2 linked regions of the Medicago truncatula genome follow. The main gene of each other region encodes a partner of the protein of the gene in region 2 in a complex. Links are inferred from orthologs where the notes say so. Each region holds a gene or a part of one and is shown on either strand. Other genes may lie near its edges.

Region 1 (7,884 bases), on a different chromosome or scaffold from region 2:
TTGGAGAAGATCAAGTGACATAGAATCTTCCTCATCTTCCGCAATAACTTCAAATTGTTGCATTGGTTTTTCGGGAGTGTCCAACAAAATAGGTGCCGCTTTGTTTGACTCCTTTTGTGGTTTCGGCGGTTTGTTTCCACTTTCAATAGCCATGAGCTTTCAGAACAACTCATGTTGATCCAAATACTCATCTTCACAAGTCACCGCATCTTCTTTCTTGTGATTGTGCCGCTTCGTAGATGATGGAGGTAGTGGACAACCATTCTTCAAATAAATAAGCATGAAATGATTCGGAATTGCCCCAAGACACAAGATGGGAGTTTTTTGATTACCCGACGGTGGTGGCCCTCTTAGTGGGAAAAAAGATTCCGAGTTTCCAACTTCAAGATTTGTCAACACGACCACACACCTTTTGTAATAATTAGCAACAATGTGTCCCATGTCCGGAAAAGTCAACCACTTATCAACAAGATGTGCACAACTTTTTGTATTTGCGGGAGGATGTAAGTCATTTAAAATGTAGTTATAACGATCCTCACCTGCAAACACTTCAACATAATCATCTCTATGATCTATCAACTCTTGAATAAGATGTGTACGGATCATGAGATGATTTTTTTTTTGTCAAGCCCATGAACTCGGCTATAGCCCGGAATCCACAATGTCCATCGCCAATAACATCCACCACTTTTTCAATAAATGGAAGCATGAAACGTGGCATATAATCAATTGGCCTCATAACCGGGATACCCGTAGGCTTTGGATACCGAGTAGGTGGTGGAAGTGGGTTAAGCGATGTTTTACCAAGACGAGCACCTTTTTTCCTTTTATATGACGATGTTGTTGGTGATGGTGACGGTTGACTATCCGGATTTTGGGAATCAACAACCTCCCACGAAGAAGGGATCCGACTAGTCGATGTAATTTTTCCTTTAGACCTCGCAATGTCGACTTTTTTATTGGCTCCCTTGGTTGGTACTTTTCGTGGTGGTGGAGACATCATGGTGGTTTCATGAAATGCCAACTGCCGCAAACCCTCTTTGACTTCAAGCTTCATTTGGAAAGGGAGTTTCTTGAGACGTTCTACAATAGCCTTCAACTCAACCTCGACACAAAAACCAACTTCGTTACTTTCTTCGCCCATATGTAACATATGCCAATGGTGGTATATCTCATCCAATAAAACTGACTTCTCTTCAAGGAGCTTAGTAGCAATTTCGCATGCACATGGTAACTTGTAAGATGTCCTTTGAACACAACCACAAATTTCATTGTCCACGCACAATGTTTCCCTACAACGTGTCTCTTCCAAAGCAATGTTGTCCAAATTATATCTAGACACATGACCACCTAACCCGGAGTACAAAGTGACATCTTTGAATCTATGTTCCAACACACTAACGCTCTGACCAAAGGTTGTTATCGCAGTGAACTGAAGCAACAACATGTCATGTATTTTCTCCCAACAAGTACCCATATCACCCACACATTTGTCCAAATATTTCTTCAATAAAGCATGAGCCGATTCGACCACGTTGGTGGTCCTGCTACCAAGATGCATCACATGGTATGTCCATGCCCTCACAATTTTGTCCTTCACTTCATTCAAGGCGATCATGGCATAATTTTTGAAAAGTGGAAAATCACTACATGAATCTTGGAACTCCACTAATGCATTTGCATATAACTCTTGAGTGGGCGATTCAACCATAACTTTCCATGCCCTCATTATCTTCTTGACAACATCGCGATTACTCACCTCTTTCCCATCCTTTTTTCCCAAATGATATTTACAATCTAAGACACACATTTGTTTAACATTTGCTTGCACATGAAAGTAACAATTCATTGCATAACTTTCGGGAAAAACATTTGCAACCGCTTTCATCAAAGATATATCCCTGTCGGTCACAATCACCTTAGGCATATTCATCTTTGACGTAAGAAGTTTACGCAACATTTTTAAAACCCAAACAAAGTTTTTCTCTTTCTCATGCGTCACAAATCCAAACCCAATCAAATATGTCAAATCGGTCGAAGTGACCCCAACTACCTCAAACATTGGCATCCTGTACATGTTGGTTTTGTAGGTGGAGTCCATAACCAAAACCGTTGGAAAATTGTTAAACAACTTAACGGATGTTGGATGAGTCCAAAAGATATATTCGATTGTAGTACTTTCACTTTGTGTTCTTGAGTAATAAGTATAGTTGTGCTCCTCCAACTTCGAGATTAGATATTACAACGGCTTCTTGTCGCCTCTATTTTCCTTCCATATTTGTTGACGTTCATTGTACACTTGCTTCACATTTGTCATGCAACGTGGTCTTTTGTTCTTCAAATGTATCAAAATATTTCTTGGAAGCATCTTACTCTTGGTCAAGTCACGTACAATCTTCTTGTCGTCCTCCTTTAGTCTACCGGCAAGAATGTGTCCTTCTAAAGCTGGCTCAATCGCATGGTTGTGAACTCCGTTAAGAATGTTCAATCCTCATTCCTTTGTTTGCTTACTTTGATATCCACTAATCATGAACAAGCACCCACATTTTCTTGAGCCCATTCTCGCATGCTTCGGTTTTTTTCCGACACTTTGTACGCTCCACTCCTTTAACACACTAGGCGGAACATTGGATTGATCAAGCTTGATCTTTGTGTAACAATTGTAAATCCCGCCTTATTTGCTTGACGACGCGCCCACTCAAGCAATTCTTCTCTATCTTTCGACTTAACGTCGTCCGAAAAAAACCTAGTCGTGTCGACCTCGTGGGCTTGAAGTGGGAGGACACCGGAGCCGCCAACATACTTTGAAGCTTCAACATGGACGGAAGCTCCATCAATGTTTGGTTTCACTTCAACCTTAGGCAGTTTGACATCTCCGGAAAATTCGACAAAATTTGGTTTTGTCTTTCCCGGAACATCTTCCGCGTTCTCTACCATTACTATAATTAAACAACATATAAATATGAATTAACAACTAACTAATGCATAAACATCAATGCCACAATGAATTAAAACAAACAAAAAAACAATTTTTTTTTTTTGAAAAACTGGCAGTAACTGCCATTTTTTTGTTGTGAAAATTTTTCACAAGAGTTCCTCGGCACCTTAATACCGAGGTTTTCCTCGGCACTACACTACTGAAGTTTTCCTCGGCAGTTAACTGCCGAGGTTTCCCATGACAGAGTTCTACGTAACTGACATAGATATCCATAACAAAACTAAAAAATGAACTGATTAAAATGTTCAATACCTGTTTTTTTACGTCAAAAGTGTATTGATACCTCCTATGCTTGATGCTTGAATGATTTTAGATCAAGATTTGATGAAAAAAATATTGGATTTGGGGATTGAATGGAGGTGGTATTGAAGTTGATGATGAAAATAGTATGTAGGGGGAGCATATGACTGTTTCATCTGATGAAACATATTCCTCGGCAGTTAACTACTGAGGATTTCCTCGGCAGTTAACTGCAGCCGGTTTTTGAATTCCTCAGCACTGTCGAGGGGACAAAAATGTAAATTACTCGTGTGCCTCAGCCTTATGCGATGTGTCAACAAAAATTCTCTAAATATTTTTGAGAGACAATTTATAATCGTAATAAATATATAATAATTAAATATTTAGCTGAATGAGATTAATCTGTTCAATTGTGTGGTGTGGAGATATTCTATTTCTATTATATAAAAGAGTGATGATATTTGAACAACTATTTTGGTACAATTTTTGGGACAACCTTGTTGTTCTCTCTTTTTATTGGGTCAAAAATAATAAAGAGAGAATAAGATCATAATGTGAGTATGAGAGATAAAATTATACAAAGTTGTACCAAAATGTTTGTACAAATATCATTTCTCCATATAAAAAAGGAAAATGAAAGACAATTGTTAAGAAGTACAAAGAAGAATTTTCGTATTAGAATTGATACATTCAATACATTGTAACCAAGAAAAACTAATTATTTTACATAAAACTTACCAGTTATTTGTATTTTAGAATCTTTGACAAGTGTCTTAAGGGCACTAGTTAACAAGCTATAAAAAAAAGTAACGTTAACGAGTGCTCATATGACATTGATTGAAGTATAAAAGTAGTAGATTTATAAAAAGTTGCGTAATCATTGCATTGATTAGACGAACAACTTATAGGGATATAAGAATCTCGATCAAAAATCTTATCTGATGCTATTGCTGCCACCACTATTCCCATCAACGAGTTCGGTGATCTTGTAACTCAATGTAGAAGGTTACTTCTTAATAGACCCGACTTTGTAGTGTCGTATGTTAGGAGGCAAGCAAATAGAGTTGTTCATAGTATTGCTAGAGCATCACTATCTCACCCTAGCCCCTATATCTTTCATCATGTAACACCTACTTTGTATCCGTTAATTTTTAATGAAATGAATTAGCTTTGCCTTTGCTAAAAAAAAAAAAAAAGAATCTCGATCACTATGAAAAAATGAACAACTTGTATTTTCAAAACAAAATTTTCTTTAATAAAATCCTTAAACAATGTCCTTAGGACATTGATTACCAAAACTCTATGAAAAATCAATGTAGTATAATACAAGGCAAATTCAACCATATAATAATCATTTTGGTTCTAAAATGTGTAGAGACTAATCAAAATAGTCCTTCACTCTTACAAAATAGTATGATTATTGTGTATTTTGTTATTCAAAATAATTTGACGCTTCTTCTTTTTATTTTGAGGTTGTCCGTCCAACAATAAATAAGTGCAAGCAACTATATTGAAAAACTGTTAATGTTGACCAACTAAGTGTACAAGGAAAGACTATTGTGGTATTTGTTACCGAAAGAAAATGACTATTACCTCAAATTCAATACTCGAATATGTTTTGTCAAAAAATAAATAAAATACTCGAATATGTGAGAGTGGGTTGTACAAAAGAAAAGAAGGTTCCGGCGTAACTGTTAACACTGAACAGAAGGTAGCAGAGTGCAAGCGAGTTAGTACAATGGAGGAAAAAAATTCAGGCGAAGAAGAGAGATCGAATCTTCTACTCCTGGATCGTGCATCTCGAGCGACAAGAGGTAAACGTCTTTCCAAGCTTCTCGACGACGAAGTTCAACAAGATGAATTGTTCTGGGGTCAGGATGCTCTCAAAGAAGAAGACGAAGACGATAACTACCAAGAAGAAGCTGAAATCGCTGACGAATTTGACTCTGATTTCGATCAAGACGTATCTCTCTCTCTCTCTCTCTCTCTCAAACTCATTCACATCGATTAGTTAATTCAATTCAATTCTATTAAACTAATTCTTCTTGATTTTCTCAGGAACCTGAACCTGACGAGGAGCAGCCACAAAACGATGATGAAAGAATGAATAAAAAGAAGCGATTGGTATATCCTGGGAAAACGACATCGGCTAAGAAGAAGAAGAAGAAGAAAATCTTATCTAATTTGGATGATCCTCCCAAAATTGATGGTGATGATGACCAAGATGATGATAAAAACAACAAGAACAACAACCAGGACGATGATGCGAAGGAGGTAATGATTAGGAAGTCCACAAGAACTTCCGTCATTGTTCGACAAGCTGAAAGAGAAGCCATTCGTGAAGCTCTCAAAGCAACCTATAAGGTTCTCCACTCTCTTTTTCTGTGATTCCTTAGGGTTTATTTTCAATTCTTCATGTTATATCAGTTTTTCAATTATATGCTTGTTTGAATTACTGTATTCGTGCTCATCCAGTGGGATAAACAACTTAATTTGCACCTTATCACAACAATAGATAAAATGAAGTGAAACTGCTTTTGTATAAGCTATAAGCTGTTATCACAAGTTACTCCAGAAAGATTATTGAAATAAGCTTATAACAGCTTATGAACATGGCATAAGTTCTTCTAAACAATATCGCAGGTGCTTATGCTAGTAGACAAGATAAAATAAGGCAATCTTAACAAACCCTGTGTAAATGGATTTTATCTTATTATATGAAAACAGTTGTCAATATTTTTAATCTTTTGTTATAGAAATAGACTATACATAAGCACTTATATGATAAGCATTTATGTTAGAAGCGCTGAATTAGGTTGTTTACCTAAGTTCCAAACAACACCTGATTATGGTCTGAAAATGTTTTTTTTTTTTTTTTTTTGGCTCAGCCAGTAATAAGGAAGAAAGGCGAGGAGAAGAAAATGTCACAAGAGGAGATGCTTTTAGAAGCTGCTCAAACAGGTCAATATTAGAAAACAACATCTGCTTGTTGATTTCTTTGCTTGTTTGTTTGTTTTAGTTTTCTAAAGATCCTGTGATGTTTCAATTATGATTTTGGCCATGCAGAAATTATGAACTTGAGGAATTTGGAGCGAGTTTTAGCTAGAGAGGAAGAAGTTAAGAGAAGAGCAATTGTGCATAAAACTGTCTTTAATGGTCCACAGATACACTACATATCACAAAATGGTTGGATGCTGTATTCCATGTGCATTTAGTTTGATTGTATTGGTTTCTTGCCATTTTGACATATAGCAATCTGTTAATTTTTCCAGGTTGTTCGTATTTGGAGTTTACTAAAGGGGCATCATTTCACTCAGATATTGCCACAACACCTCAAGAATGTGCGTCCCTTTATGCTAGCACTATATTTTGGTTCATTTTTTTGTTGAAGAATGTAATATATTCTGTTTCTTTGTTCATAAAGTTCTCAAAGTGTGAAATTAAATTCCCAAAGAAATTGTTACGGCATTGATTTTCACAATACATTATTTGTTTGACTTATTGTTATTAGTTTATAGACAATAACTGGACATATTCCAAATGAAGGACCTTGGTAGAGGCTTTGTTTCAGATGGCATCGTTTTGCTGGATTAGACTGATGACATTATAACAAGTGCTAAGATGCAGTTGAACATAAATGTTTTGGAGACCAAGGGATTTCTCCTGATTTGTCCAAATACCGAATTTACAAAAATTAGTTAGGTTTAGGAAGAAGGATGGACGAGAGTATGTATAGTAAAAAATGAGTAGGAAGGAAGAGCACCCAGAACTGAGTGTTTTAGATAATTAGGGTCTATCTTACAAAAGAAAGGATTGATAATAATGTCCCACAATATCCAAACAGGACAGGTTGAAGTAAAGAAATGCTTCAGGTGTTTGTATGCGCCTCTAAGTAGAAAAAGTTTTACGAAATCCTAGTAAGATTTGCAACTATGTATGGATCAGAAATGTTGGGAAATAAACTGCAATCATGAGCATAGATGATGGTTGTAGGAATGAGAATGGAGTATGGGATGAGTGGGCATACTGAGATGGATAGGTTTAAATTGAATTCGTTAGAGAAAAAGTTGGAAAAGCTTCGATACAAAAAAAAAATTGATGGTTTAATTAGTTTAAAGTTAGGGTAGCTACTATATAGATAATGATTGACAAATCATATATCATACTACCACCACATGCCTTCATAACAAGTGAGGTTAAAGATGGCAAGTTGGTAACCCTTACAAATGGGTAGGGGGAGACGAAAAAAAAATGTGATAAAACTTGAAAGACTATTGAGAAGAGTTAAAAGTACCCAGCATCAGGAAATTCTATGTAGCTAAATAACTATATTTTTTTTTTTATTTCATTTGTTTTTTTACTTATACGATATATTGATATTTCTTTTCAGATCCAGAACAACCTGTTTGCGTGATTACTGGTTTGCCTGCCAAGTAAGAGCCTCACTTACCCAATATTGTGGTTATTGCTTTATTATTCACTACCCTGGTTAGGATGAGAGAGGCACATAGTGTGCAATTTGGACTACTTGATAATTGTTTCTTTACCCTACAATATCTTGTGCACATCACATGCTTTTCAAGTTTGGTTTCCTTTGCAAGTGATTTAATCTTAAAAAAAATAGGCAAATTGGTAGAATAGATTTA
Region 2 (7,054 bases):
ATAGTATCTATCGATTCACTTAATGTGATCACGACACTTTAATGCTTAATGTGAATGATAATGCTCTTACTAATCCAAGGAAAGCACTGGTTAGGGGTCTTATGCGTAATTATGGTGGAACTTTTTAGTTTAGATTATATGGGACAATAGGTTGGTCAAATTTGCTTCATGTAGAGATCCAGACACTCCTTGTTAGTTTGAGGTTTTGCTGGTAAGTTGATTTTAGAAAGTTTCCTGCTATTTTGATTTATTTCATATGATGTAATTAGCAACTATGGACTCATATTGCTTTCAACATTATGTTAAAATGTTGGAGATTATTTGAGATTACATGAAGACGGATTGAAATTTTACCCTCCACCGCAATCTTCAAAAGGGGAATGTTTGTGTAAATGTTCTAACAAAGTTGGAAGCTAATGGTATGGATACCTTGGTTATGGTTCATGAGTTGCCTCCATGTTTTTCACCAGCCTTGTTAGTTGACGCTATTGTCGTTAGGGGTGTTCAAAACATACCAGCCAATAGAAAATTGCAAACAAAAACAACTGAAATTGAGAACTGCAAAAAATCGTGTTTGGTTCGAATGTGTTCGGGCCAATTTTACCTAACCGTGCGGTACAAATTAATTTTCGAATTTTGTTTTGCCATCTGAATCAAATCCCATCCTTAAAGAAACATTCACTCCACTGATACACAGTCTATGTCACCCGTACCAAAGTCGCTTAGCCAACTCACTCTAATGATATTAGCATATATTCCTAATATTATTAGAAATCTTGGCTATAATTAAACCGGTCATAAGAAAACCCAAAAACATGTATAACAAAAAAAATGGACTAGGTTTTTAACTGATTTGGATCCTCCCTGCTCATTCTCTCATGTTGCCCATTATACCATAAGCTTGGCCATTCACTTAACTTATTTTTCTCTCTTCTTTATTATATTTTTTCATTTATAGATCAATCCACTTTTGGATTATGAAAATGATAGATGATTGAACAAAAAGAACATGAAAATATCCAAATCAGTTTTAATAAAGTCTTCTTATGACGTATAAAAGACACTCCTTAGGTGGTGTGTTATTTCTCATCTTTGTGTGATGTATTTTTTTATTTCTCATCTTAGTGTGATGTTTATCTGATTCAAAATAAAAGACTAACTTTGATTAAATACAAATTCAATCAATGACTTTGATGTTGTCAACGTTGCAGATCTAGAGTCGTGAGTATTCTAAAGACTTAAGGGTTAATAGTGCTTTACCCCCTGTAATATAGGGCACTTTTGGTTTTGCCCCCTATAATTTATTTTTTTTAGATTCGGTCCTTGTAAACAGGCCCGTTCCTAGAGTTTTACGGGCCTTAGGCATAATATGAAAAAAGGGCCCTTACATAATGCATCATAATTTTTTTAGCTCATTGTTGTGTTTTTTTGCTTTTCATTTCGTTTTTTTATTTTGCTTTTCTCTAACAAAATAAATGTTTTTTTAAGACAACATTTGAAAATAAATTAAATATTCTATATACACCAAAACAAAATAAAAATACCATAAAAGTAGAGAAAAGTAGCACATGTGAAGTAGACTGAAATTTTAGCACTCTATTTTCAACTAAAATAGAATTTGCTGTTACGAAAATTATCCCAATTTCTTGGATAATAAATATCGTCGATATGTTTAATATTAGTGAAGCACATTATTAGGAGCAAAGGGCCCAAAAAAATATCACCAATTTCTTCGATAATAAATTTTTTAGCATATTATCAAGAACAACCAAATTTTTTATAGGAGGGTGTATATAGAAAATTGTGTTACATGGGATATATATAGCAAATCTCACTAAAAGGGCAAAAAATACTAACAAATGTCAGCCCATTCCTTTATCATGTCAAAGTTTGGATCTTTGAAGAGAAATTTTCTATATATACCCCCCAAAATCCAAATATTTCTATATACACCCCCTTACCTTAAAAAAAATTTGGGCCTCCTACCGGCATGGGCCCTAGGCCGTCGCACTCGCGGCCTATGCCCTAGGGCCGGCCCTGCTTGTAAAACAAAGATTCTTCAAATTTTCCCCCTAAGCTATGTGACTCACCAGAATCTCCTATGTGGCGTTGACATGAATTTTTTTTTAAAATTTTAATTTTTTTTTGTTAGCCATGTGTATTAGTGATTATCTACATCTGATTTCATTAAAAAATATGAAAATTAATTTTCAAAAATTATAAAAACCGAATTAATTAGGAAAAAAATTATAAAAAAAATCTCAAATTTATTTATTTTTAAAATTAGGTTCCATAATTTTTTTAAATAATCTTCCTAATTTTGAAAAAAATATGATTTTTTTATTTTGAAAAAGATTTCATAAAAATTTAGGAATAAAAGTTTCAAAAAAATATCTGAATTCTTTTCTAAATTTAAATTTTTTGAAGAAAAAAAAAACTGAAATTAAGATTTTTTGATTAGAATTAAAAAAAATTATATTCAGATTTTAAAAAATTAAAAAATAATCAAAATTCTGGAACAATATTTCAAGATTTTATTAAATTCAAGAATAAACTTTTCAAAAATAATAATCTGAAATCTTTCTAATTTTAACATTTTAGAAAAAAAATCTGAAGTTAAGATTTTAAAAATTATAATTAAATCGAATTGATTTAGATTATATAATTTTTGAAATTTTACTTTCATATTTTGAAGTGGAATTTTTAAAAAAATTACCAGATTTTTAAAAATTAAAATATTTTCCAGACTTTTTAATTTCTGTAGAAAAAAATAAAAAAACTTTTTTAATTCAAAAAAGTCAGAATTTTTTATAATTTCGAAAATTAAATTCCATAATTTTTAAATATCTTAATTTTAAAAAAAATAAGAACGTTTTTCTATTTTTTTAAATTTTAAAAAAAATCTAAATGTTTTTTTCTTATTATTTTTAATTTCTGAAAAAAAATCAGAATATTTTTTTATTTTTTATATTTAAAAAAATTAGAATTTTATTTTTCTAATTTTTCAATGTTTTGAAAATTAATTTTCAGTTTTTTTGAAAAATATTTTTGTTTCTTTAAATTTAATTTTCTTTTTAGTTTTTAAAAATTTCGAAACATTAAAAAATAAAAAGAAAAAGCCACGTAAGTGCCACATCAAAGATTCTGCTGAGTCAATGGCCTTATGGGGCAAATCTGAAGAATCTTTATTTGACAAAGATCGAATCTAATTTTTTTTTTTACAGGGGACAAAACCAAAAGTGTCATATATTACAGGGGGTAAAGTACTCTTTTGTTTTTTTTGGTCAAGTAGCCTTGTGGCTAGAGCTCACACAATTTAATTGTGGAGAAGTGGAGTGTCGGGGTTCGAACCCCAGCTCCTGCATATAATATGCAATATCCCTACCAACTGAGCTAAGCTCACGGGGATGGGGTAAAGTACTCTTAACCCAAGACTTAAATATAACTATATTTGTAGACATATATGTACTCTCCCATTTACATAAATGTTGAAAATTTGTTCACCAATTTATTCTTTTTGTTTTTAAAGATTTAGAATTTGTATTGCATCAATGTACCATTCATTTAAACGTTTGAATATAGTTTATTTTTAAAAAAAATCCTAATAATTGTTTTCAATATTTTTTTGTGGGTTGATCCGGTAGGTCTGCTCCCGTATATGCATATATGGCTTGACAAACCCATCTTTTTTAACCCGGCTAACTGGATGAAGTTGTGGATGTTTTCACTAATCTAGGCCACATGTGCTTCGAGCTTATGAAAAATAACTTATGTAAATAGATAAGGTTTTATTTTAATTTATAAGTTTTTACTAACAAAAATTGTATCTTCATAAACGGTTTTTCATAAACTACTTTATAAACTTATATATAATACATAAAAACTCATTTATTTACATAAGTTATTTTACGTAAGCTCTAAAACAAGCTAATCCAAACGGGCTACTAATCGAATATCGATTATTCATTCATCTACCTTAAAAATGAAAGTGTAATAATTCATAAACCGACTCCACAAGTTAGGGAGTAAGCAACCAATTCAAGTAACAACATGTCGTCAAGCACGCAGGTGGTTGTTCTAGACAACGGCGGAGGACTAATAAAAGCCGGTTTCGGCGGCGAACGCGACCCATCAACCATACTCCCCAACTGTCTCTATAAACCCCTCACCTCCAAAAAATGGCTGCACCCAAACCCTATCAACACCCCTTCCTCCTCCTCCTCCTCCTCCTCCTCCGAACAAGACCTCACCTCCGCCTCCGTCCGCCGCCCCATCGATCGCGGCTACCTAATCAACCCCGACCTCCAACGCGATATCTGGTCCCACCTTTTCACCTCTATCCTCCGCATCAACCCTTCTCAATCCTCTCTCCTCCTCACTCAACCCCTCTTCACTCTCCCTTCCATTCAACACTCTCTCCACCAACTCGTCTTCGAAGATTTCAATTTTTCCTCTCTCTTCGTTGCTGATTCACCTTCCCTTGTTCATCTCTACGAAACTAGCCAACGTCCCAATGGCCTTCTCTCTAAAGCCCAATGCAGTCTCGTTGTTGATTCTGGCTTTTCCTTCACACACGCTTCGCCTGTCTTTCAGAACTTTACTCTTAACTACGCTGTTAAGCGTATCGATTTAGGTGGTAAAGCCTTGACCAATTACCTCAAGGAACTTATTTCCTTTCGTTCTGTTAATGTCATGGATGAAACTTTTATTATTGATGATGTTAAGGAGAATCTCTGCTTTGTTTCTGTTGATGTCGACAAACACCTTAACCTTGCTAGAAAGAGTGGGAAAGACAATGTTTTCAAGTGTACGTATGTTCTTCCTGATGGTGTTACGCACACAAAAGGGTTTGTTAAATATCCAGAACAAGCAAGCAGGTATCTTGCTGATGGTAAGGACGATATCGGTGATCACGAGGAGATTTCTAAACAACAACCTCAGGACAATAGACACAAAGTTGATTTGACAAAAAATGTATTTGTTTTGTTGGAATTTTGTTTTTTTAAGTTCACATTCATTTGTATCGATTTTATTAACTATTTCTTGCTTTGTGTTCTCTAGGAATTTGATTTGACGAATGAGCGGTTTCTTGTCCCCGAGATGATCTTCCGTCCAGCTGATTTGGGTATGTCTTTGTTAGTAGTTTCATTCTAGTGCTGTTTTCAAATTAGATTAGATGCACAACATGATTTCAATAAGGCTTTGTCCTTTTATGATTCATGAAATTGTGAAATGTTATATTCGGTTGGGGAAGATGTGTCGCGGATGTGATGTGTATATGTAAAGTGTCTATAAAATCTTAATATTGTAGTTGCAATCACAATTGTAGAATGTAATACAGAACATTGGAATTTTAGTTAAATATTTGGTTGATGAGTTTCCTAAGTGGATGCAAATGAGGATCTTAGTCTAATTTCATTATTTACCCCTTCGTGTTAGGTTTTTCTTATGTTCTCTGCAAAATGCTGAACGAAATGATTTGCAGGAATGAACCAGGCTGGGCTACCAGAATGCATTGTACGAGCAGTTAATGCCTGTCATCCGCATCTCCATCCTGTACTCTATGAAAGGTAAATTTGGTTTGATTTCCAACCATTTGATTTCATGACCCTGTTTGAGAATTGTTGCCTTTTCTTACTTCTCACCCTCGTATTTTGACGATGTGTTTACTTTCTTCGGCAGCATCATTTTAACCGGTGGAAGCACCTTGTTTCCTCATTTTGCCGAGAGATTGTAAGTTTTTTGTTTCGGCTACAACACTTTGTACCATACTACCATAATTTTTTTTGTTAGGTGGGCATGGTTTGTTTGGTTTCTTGATACCAAACCAAATATTTTTACAAATTTTTATGGATAAGCATTTAGATTTGAACTTTTTTATTTTGTCGTCAAACTGATTTGGTTTATGGTGAGCCGATTTTAAACTTGTTTTGGTATAGAATCAGTTTCACAACTTATTTTAAACCTCACTCAATGATGTGAAGTTTTCCCAAGGTAATCAAGCCTCAACTCAAAAGAGGCTATCACCACCTTCCACTTCCGACGTGCCACTTCATAGTACTCCTCCTCCCTATTAAATTTCGGCTTTCCCTCTGTCAACACCACCGGTATCCCCATTGTGAAAGCTCACCGGTTCAAATTCCAGCTTTCCCTCTGAGATCAGCAGCAAGCTCCCAAAACCATAAGCAATATTGCAGATCTTTGCTCTACTGTGATATGCTGGATGCACGTTGCTACAAAATTGAGCCTTGAAACTAGCAAAGGGAAAACCAGAAAATTAACTAGCCGAGAAATTAATAATGGAATTAATTTTTCTCTTACATGGATGGATATTTTTGGGAACCAAACATGAAATAGGGGAGGGAAATGAGATGTACCAGTTTCGGAACTTGGGCGAGGCTGGTGGAATGTAGTCCGTGATTTGAGAAATAACATATCTAGATCACAATTTTTGGATTTGGAATTTGAGAGTAAAAGTGTTTGGACTATTTACGAAATCCAAATCAGAATAATAAACGGATTTGATTTATCTATTTGGTGAAATGGTTTGGTTATTTTATCTGTGATTTACTTCAGTTTCAAATTTGGTTTGTTTGGCAATATTGCCTTTTCCAGAGACCCCTATTTTTTGCCACTTTGGTGTCCTATCTTTTATGTGTACTTCATAGCGTGATTTACAAGTTTAACTAATTGATTATGAAATTTTGTAGAGAGAAGGAGCTTCGGCCTCTAGTTCCTGATGACTATCGTGTGAAGATAGCTACACAAGAAGAGTAAACATCTTTCTTAGCCTATTTAGTTTCTTGTACGTTTGTAATTTCTATATGAATTAACGGTTCTTCTATAGTCCCCTACTAGGTGTTTGGCGTGGAGGATCTCTCCTGGCATCGAGTCCAGACTTTGATGCGATGTGTGTGACCAAGGCTGAGTATGAGGAGCTTGGTTCTGCTAGATGTCGCAAGAGATTTTTTCATTGACAATTCATGCCATGAATGTGACCATGTAAATCTTGTATGTAAGCTAACATGTACTAACTACTGTTTAGTTAGTGAGA

Evidence for each region. Proteins that work in one complex are often made in the same cells at the same time.
Region 1: actin-related protein 6 (region 2) and SWR1 complex subunit 2 share a complex: the UniProt entries of both Arabidopsis thaliana proteins name them as parts of the SWR1 chromatin-remodeling complex. The link is inferred for Medicago truncatula from reciprocal best matches to the Arabidopsis thaliana genes ARP6 and SWC2.

The regions. Positions count from the first base shown.
Region 1 is NC_053049.1:37,156,106-37,163,989, reverse strand, and holds the start of SWR1 complex subunit 2, read left to right. Parts: upstream 1-4,863; 5' UTR 4,864-4,976; coding exon 4,977-5,201; intron 5,202-5,296; coding exon 5,297-5,602; intron 5,603-6,126; coding exon 6,127-6,199; intron 6,200-6,304; coding exon 6,305-6,424; intron 6,425-6,510; coding exon 6,511-6,579; intron 6,580-7,628; coding exon 7,629-7,671; intron 7,672-7,884. UniProt on the Arabidopsis thaliana protein: Component of the SWR1 complex which mediates the ATP-dependent exchange of histone H2A for the H2A variant H2A.F/Z leading to transcriptional regulation of selected genes (e.g. FLC) by chromatin remodeling.
Region 2 is NC_053043.1:24,224,106-24,231,159, forward strand, and holds the start of actin-related protein 6, read left to right. Parts: upstream 1-3,950; 5' UTR 3,951-4,050; coding exon 4,051-4,974; intron 4,975-5,061; coding exon 5,062-5,125; intron 5,126-5,485; coding exon 5,486-5,570; intron 5,571-5,682; coding exon 5,683-5,733; intron 5,734-6,710; coding exon 6,711-6,773; intron 6,774-6,847; coding exon 6,848-6,977; 3' UTR 6,978-7,015; intron 7,016-7,054. UniProt on the Arabidopsis thaliana protein: Component of the SWR1 complex which mediates the ATP-dependent exchange of histone H2A for the H2A variant H2A.F/Z leading to transcriptional regulation of selected genes (e.g. FLC) by chromatin remodeling. Binds to the promoter region of FLC chromatin.